Xenopus tropicalis: one gene and its partner. The protein of the gene in region 1 purifies or fractionates together with the protein of each later gene. This does not show direct contact. Links are inferred from orthologs where the notes say so. Each region holds a gene or a part of one and is shown on either strand. Other genes may lie near its edges. The genes, in order: sh3pxd2a and fgd1.

Evidence for each region.
Region 2: the proteins of sh3pxd2a (region 1) and fgd1 purify together in Homo sapiens (affinity purification with mass spectrometry; 3 studies listed by BioGRID and IntAct, with this or other methods). This does not show direct contact. The link is inferred for Xenopus tropicalis from reciprocal best matches to the Homo sapiens genes SH3PXD2A and FGD1.

The regions. Positions count from the first base shown.
Region 1 is NC_030683.2:28,139,217-28,143,549, reverse strand, and holds the start of sh3pxd2a (SH3 and PX domain-containing protein 2A), read right to left. Parts: upstream 3,030-4,333; 5' UTR 2,657-3,029; coding exon 2,585-2,656; intron 1-2,584. UniProt on the Homo sapiens protein: Adapter protein involved in invadopodia and podosome formation, extracellular matrix degradation and invasiveness of some cancer cells. Binds matrix metalloproteinases (ADAMs), NADPH oxidases (NOXs) and phosphoinositides.
Region 2 is NC_030684.2:25,386,959-25,390,451, forward strand, and holds part of fgd1 (FYVE, RhoGEF and PH domain-containing protein 1), read right to left. Parts: intron 1,168-3,493; coding exon 1,066-1,167; intron 692-1,065; coding exon 566-691; intron 405-565; coding exon 246-404; intron 6-245; coding exon 1-5. UniProt on the Homo sapiens protein: Activates CDC42, a member of the Ras-like family of Rho- and Rac proteins, by exchanging bound GDP for free GTP. Plays a role in regulating the actin cytoskeleton and cell shape.

The DNA of each region.
Region 1 (4,333 bases):
ATTCCCAATTACAACTGTTGCTCTGTGGGACCCAGGGCAGTTTCCCATTCACTCCATGCAAAGACCAGACAATTAACAGTGCTACTCTAATACACAGAAGTGACAGACACCCCAACAATCACATACAGTATCACTGGAATTAAACCACCCTTCACCCTATGGGACCTATAATACATGGCAGGGTTGTACCACAATACATGTGTATACAGAATACATTGTGCCTGGGTGGGTATAATTGCCCCTTAATGCATGGCAGGGTTGTACCATAATACATAAAGTATACATTGTGCCTAGGTGGGTATAACTGCCCCAATAATGCATGGCAGGGTTGTACCACTATCCCTATGGGATACAGCAGAATACATTGTGCCTGGGTGGGTATAACTGCCCCAATAATGAATGAGTTGTACCACTATCCCTATGGGATACAGCAGAATATATTGTGCCTGGGTGGGCATAACTGCCCTAATAATGCATGGGTTGTACCACTATCCCTATGGGATACAGCAGAATATATTGTGCCTGGGTGGGCATAACTGCCCCAATAATGAATGGGTTGTACCATCATCCCTATGGGATACAGCAGAATACATTGTGCCTGGGTGGGCATAACTGCCCTAATAATGCATGGGTTGTACCACTATCCCTATGGGATACAGCAGAATATATTGTGCCTGGATGGGCATAACTGCCCCAATAATGCATGGGTTGTACCACTATCCCTATGGGATACAGCAGAATACATTGTGCCTGGGTGGGTATAACTGCCCCAATAATGCATGGGTTGTACCACTATCCCTATGGGATACAGCAGAATACATTGTGCCTGGGTGGGTATAACTGCCCCAATAATGCATGGGTTGTACCATCATCCCTATGGGATACAGCAGAAAACATTGTGCCTGGGTGGGCATAACTGCCCTAATAATGCATGGGTTGTACCACTATCCCTATGGGATACAGCAGAATATATTGTGCCTGGGTGGGCATAACTGCCCCAATAATGAATGGGTTGTACCATCATCCCTATGGGATACAGCAGAATACATTGTGCCTGGGTGGGCATAACTGCCCTAATAATGCATGGGTTGTACCACTATCCCTATGGGATACAGCAGAATACATTGTGCCTGGGTGGGTATAACTGCCCCAATAATGCATGGGTTGTACCGCTATCCCTATGGGATACAGCAGAATACATTGTGCCTGGGTGGGTATAACTGCCCCAATAATGCATGGGTTGTACCGCTATCCCTATGGGATACAGCAGAATACATTGTGCCTGGGTGGGTATAACTGCCCCAATAATGCATGGGTTGTAACATCATCCCTATGGGATACAGCAGAATACATTGTGCCTGGGTGGGCATAACTGCCCTAATAATGCATGGGTTGTACCACTATCCCTATGGGATACAGCAGAATATATTGTGCCTGGGTGGGCATAACTGCCCCAATAATGCATGGGTTGTACCACTATCCCTATGGGATACAGCAGAATACATTGTGCCTGGGTGGGTATAACTGCCCCAATAATGCATGGGTTGTACCGCTATCCCTATGGGATACAGCAGAATACATTGTGCCTGGGGGGGTATAACTGCCCCAATAATGCATGGGTTGTACCGCTATCCCTATGGGATACAGCAGAATACATTGTGCCTGGGGGGGTATAACTGCCCCAATAATGCATGGGTTCTACCGCTATCCCTATGGGATACAGCAGAATACATTGTGCCTGGGTGGGTATAACTGCCCCAATAATGCATGGGTTGTACCGCTATCCCTATGGGATACAGCAAAATACATTGTGCCTGGGTGGGTATAACTGCCCCAATAATGCATGGGTTGTACCATCATCCCTATGGGATACAGCAGAATACATTGTGCCTGGGTGGGCATAACTGCCCTAATAATGCATAGGTTGTACCGCTATCCCTATGGGATACAGCAGAATACCTTGTGCCTGGGTGGGTATAACTGCCCCAATAATGCATGGGTTGTACCACTATCCCTATGGGATACAGCAGAATACATTGTGCCTGGGTGGGCATAACTGCCCCAATAATGCATGGGTTGTACCACTATCCCTATGGGATACAGCAGAATACATTGTGCCTGGGTGGGTATAACTGCCCCAATAATGCATGGGTTGTACCACTATCCCTATGGGATACAGCAGAATACATTGTGCCTGGGTGGGTATAACTGCCCCAATAATGCATGGGTTGTACCACTATCCCTATGGGATACAGCAGAATACATTGTGCCTGGGTGGGTATAACTGCCCCAATAATGCATGGGTTGTACCACTATCCCTATGGGATACAGCAGAATATATTGTGCCTGGGTGGGTATAACTGCCCCAATAATGCATGGGTTGTACCACTATCCCTATGGGATACAGCAGAATACATTGTGCCTGGGTGGGTATAACTGCCCCAATAATGCATGGGTTGTACCACTATCCCTATGGGATACAGCAGAATACATTGTGCCTGGGGGGTATAACTGCCCCAATAATGCATGGGTTGTACCACTATACAGTACAATACATAGTGCTGGGGGGGGTATTACTACTCACATAGTGCTTGGATGGGTTCCTCCTTTTCTGCACACCCTGTACGCTCACATCCAGCACCCAGAAGGACAGCATCTTTCCCCTCGGAGGCACGGCCAGGCAGGCAGGCAGCGGGCTGAAGCCACTCACTGGGGCATTACTGTCCCGGTCCCCCCGGCAGTTCCGTGCAAGCGCTGTGTATAAGAGCAGGGAGGGGGCCGCTCACTCCAATGAAAAGGCTCTAGGGCTGAGCTCCGCTGCCATGTGCTTGTGGCTTGTTTCTCTGGGCAGTAGGCTGCCCTCTGCTGTTCTTGTGTTTCCCCTGGGCTTTCTGCCTTCACATTGGGATACTCCTCCTCTCACCCTGCCTGAGTGCTACTCCCCTTGCCCTCCCTGCTGCAGCTGCAGCCTGGGTTACACAGCTCTGTGATTCCCCGCTCCGCGGGTGACACGGTCCTTACATGGAGGCGGGGCCTGCTCAGGACACAGAGACTCCTATATATTCATTGGATTCATGGATCCGGGGGAGGGGCGGGGACTGGCCACCAAATTGAAATGATAAATGCCTCAGTGGCTGTCTGTATGGGGGCTAATAATAGTACAGACCCTGGGTCCTGCCTTTAGCTTGTTTCTCGGGGAGGCTGGAGCCCAAATGTGAGGGAAACTAGCTAAAGGCAGTACCCAGGTTATATGTAACTTGTATATGTGAGATATAACTATAATGTTGTGTCATTTATACATTTCTTTGAAAAACATAGGCCATAGGGGCCCCTCTCAGGTTGGGAACCTTACCAGGGCAAATGTCTCTTTGTCCTTCTCTTAATCCAATCCAGGCCTTATAGACCAGGTGCCCCCAGTCCCTACATGTATGGCTCTTGCTCTCTGGGGTGACTAAGAAATGTAAGAATTCTGAAAATTAAGATTTTTTAAAGAAGGTCCTTAGGGATGCATTGGCATGTGGGGGTATGACATTGGTATGGGGGAATGCATTCTGTCCCATGGGTGCCCAGATGGTATTGAACTATAACACCCACATCAGTGCCACCTCAGGGCTCCTTGCTACTCTGAGGCAGGCAAATAAATGCTGTCCCTTTGCGCTTTGCTTTTCTCATTGGAGTCAGGGGCAAATCTCTAGTGCAGAAAGCAATAGTGTTCTCTGCACTAGAAGAGCCATAATTCTGATTTAAAAAAACTAACTAGCTGGGCACTGCCACCTAAGGTGTGTTGCTCAACTCACTTCATGGACTCACTTCCTTACCTCTGGAACTCTATCCCTGAATCCCTCCGCAGGGAACACTCACTCTCTTTAAGATGCTACCTTCTAGAGCACAAAAACATTATTTTGCCTAGTCCTGTGCTTAAGAGCAAATGCCCATACCTAGTGCACTCTTACCTTCCAATTTGTGCCTGTATGTTACCCAACCACTCTACGGGGCAGGGACCTCCTTCCTACTGTGTCTCATACCTCATGGCACTTATTCCCTGTGCATTTATATATATTTATTGTATTTATTACAACACTTGTAAGATTGTACAGCGCTGTGTACCCTTGTGGCACTTTATAAATAAATCTTTGCAAAGGGGAAGAAGCACTCCAGTGTGTCGGCAATGCCTTTAAATCATTTATTTGCAGAAATGTACAAACAGCACAAGCTTTCTGGGGTGCAATACACACAAGTGAACAATTTACTCACTAAATACCTTAACAGATTTTTGTTTATGTTGATTGAACTTTATAAATAAAGTTATACATACATACATACATAGACACAG
Region 2 (3,493 bases), on another chromosome or scaffold:
TGTTTCTGGGGATCACACATTGAATGCATTTAGTCTGATGTACACCTGACACAGTATAGGAATCTTGCGCTATTCAGTCTAGGTATGGCCGTGCCTGTCTTAAAAGCAGCTATTTATCAGCACGCAGTACCCCACATTTAAAATAGACACTTGACTGACACCCTTTAAGTGCCAGTGATAAACACTAACTGCTGTGCAAGCTGGCGCCATGTACAGACTGGGCAGTGAAAAGATGCCTGACATACCTCTAGTATGGATTTCCTGCGCTGTGGCGTGTGAGCGTTGTATACTGGGCTGGCCAAAGACCCACGTAGAGCACCATAACAGTCCACACAGACTCGATTTGTGCGGTTATTATCGTAAACAAGCCTGGCACGAAACTCAGAGCACTTTCCGCATACCACCTGGAGTAAGGAAATAAGTACTGAGATTAAAAATAGGCCCTAACATTTCAAGTACACAGAGGCCCAAACAGCTCCCCCAGGCCCTCTGACAGATTGCCTGTCTGGGCCTGAAATAGTGATTGGTGACAGTAAAAGAAGATGCAATAAAACTGGGCACTCACATGGCCGCAAGCCTTGCAGTGGTGTCTCCTTTTGGTAATGGAGTTAAATGGTTCCTGGCATTTCATGCACATGGTCACTTCCTTTTCTCGGATGGGGGTTGGTGCTCGTTTTCCCAGGTCTGTGTTCTGTGTGACAGACGTTTCATTAGGAACTGTTGCTGTGTTACCTCAATAACTTAATAAGTGCTGTTGCAGGTAGAATAAGACAATCTAATTCCCAAAACCCTCCTGACCCCTTCCTGCTCCCCTTCTATACCCAAACCCAAACCCACTCCCTTTATTCTTCTTATTCTACCTGCAAGAACACGATACTAACTATCCTGACAGCATTTGCCAGCCAAGTGTTTATATTCTTGCACTCCTGGATCTGACTCATGAAACAATATCGCAAGCCAGTTGATTAACAGACCAAGAGGAAACTTGACTCCTGTAACATTGTTTTCAGAGTCAGACCCAGATATGTTCTTTCGCTGTGGCCAGAGGATGGCCTCTAAATGTACCGGAGAGTTTGGTGGCGTCTCCTCATCCTCACGAATGGACGTGCAGAGCAGTTTGCATGACTCCATTGCCTGTTCATGCCGATTTATTGTAGCCTCAATAGCCTGTAAAGGCAAAGCAAGACAAAAGGCAGCTATGATTGTGTTGTTTAAACCATGACAAATGAAAGTAGAATATAAACAAAAAATAATATGACTATTCTTGGATAGATGCTGTATTAATGTTGTATATGCTGCACTGTACCAGCCCAGAGGGCCAGCAATCATGATCCAGACCTTTAGGGTTTTAGCATTTCAAGCCTATTTATTTGTTGCGCTTAAGTTCTTCTTTAATATAGACTTTTCCCCATCTTGTCCTAGCTAAATGAGTAAGGAACATTCCCCAAGTTTAAATTCCAGGAATGAACTTAAATGAAATAAATCTCATGAGAAAGCAGTAAGCGATGTGCTCATACTTTGTGTTTTCAGAAGAGAAGTAATTAATATATATATATATATATATATATATATATATAATATGCAAGACTCATGAGTAAAAGTAATGTATACATATGTAAGATTCTTGTAATATATATATTGTGAGTTCTTATAATTTATTAATCAATAATGAAACCTTTGACTCTAGTAGAGGAAACAGTCAATTAGTAATTAGCTTAGCACCTGGTTGTCTGATCCAAACAACAGGAGTTTCCTAATTTGGAAAACAAAGGTACTGGTCTGGGAAAGGTGCTGTCCCACCTAAACTCTAATTAACATTAACAAAGGGTCAAGGACACTGGAGCCAGCTGAATGGATCCCTGGTGATATGCTTAATCAGTTAAGGTCCCCATACACTATAAGATCTGCTCGCTTGGCGATGTCGCCAAGCGAGCGGATCTTTACCCGATATCCCCACCTACGGGTGGGCGATATCGGGTAGCAAGTTGCTTTAAAAAAAAAATAATTACAGTTGCGGCCATGGGGCAGTCGGTTCGGGGACCGCATCAACGAGCCGATGCGGTCCCCGATCCGACTGGATTTTCTAACCTGGCCGATCGATATCTGGCCAATTTCAGGCCAGATATTGGTCGGCCAGGCCGCTCGTTTCTGCCCATACACGGGCCGATTAGCTGCCGAATCGGTCCAAGGGACCCATATCGGCAGCTTCTATCGGCCCGTGTATGGGCAGAAACGAGCGGGAAGGACAGTCTTGCTGGAGACGCAGACATGAAGACTGAAATACCCATAATGGCGGACGGATGACTTCCTGTAACTGACTGGTATGTGCTAGCACAGGTAGACACAGGGCCAGGAGAGGAGTGACCACCGTACCAAATCAGAGGGAATCCTGACATCACAGACCAGGCACCTTATCAAACCAAAGGAGAGGTATCCTTAGGCTGTGTAATCCTCTAGGGTTAAGGTTTCATAGAGTGTGTTTATATGGTGTGGTGTGGGATATTATTATTATATAGGTGGTTGGGCCTCTGGGTTTCATTTTAGTGTGTTTAGTTAAGTTTTGTATATTTGTAGTGTATTGTAGTATATTTGTTTTGTATGACCTTTCTGTGTATATGGTAGTCTCTTGTTTTATCTACTTTATGGTTTATGTAAATATTTGTTTACAAACAATATTAAGTAGATTAAGTGTATAGTAGGCGTTAAAAACAAAAAAGGCGTTTGAAACTTAAAAGGCACTATACAAGGGATTGCACTCGGGAGACTGTAAGTACCCAGTGGCAATATGAGTTGCAGTATGATTGCTGGTGTTACTCAGTGTGCATCTTGCCGCATGTATGTGGTCCTGGAGCAGCAGTTCCATGCAGCATTTACTTGTGAGAGATGCAGGTGGGTTTTCCTCTTGGAATCTGAGGTGCAGAATCTAAGAGGGGAACTGGCAGCACTGAGGGCAGCTGCAAACATGGGGGAGAACAGGAGGCTCACTGAGCAACCACTGGCAGGGGCCGGTGTAGTGGGGGGTGGAGAAGGGACAGTGGAGGTTAATGAGGGAGACAAATTTGTAACAGTTAAGAGGGGAAGTAGGGGACACAAGGGTAGGGGGGCTGGTTCACAGCTTGTACAATCCAACAGATTTGCCGCTTTAGGTGAAGATGCTGGGGAAGACAGCTCTGAGCTAGCATGTATGGAGCGGGCTGACTCTCAGAGCACCCTGGGAGCCGGCACCTCTAATACAGGTGGGGGGAGTAGTGCTAGGAAGGGAAGGCAGGCTATAGTTGTAGGGGATTCAATTATTAGAAAGGTGGATAGGGTAATTTGTCGCAAAGACCCTACATGCCGAACTGTGTGTTGCTTGCCTGGTGCTAGGGTTCGGCATGTGGTGGAACGAGTGGACAAATTGTTGGGAGGGGCTGGGGAAGACCCGGCGGTCTTGGTACACATAGGTACCAATGACAAAGTTAGAGGAGGGGGGGAAGTCCTCAAGAACGATTTT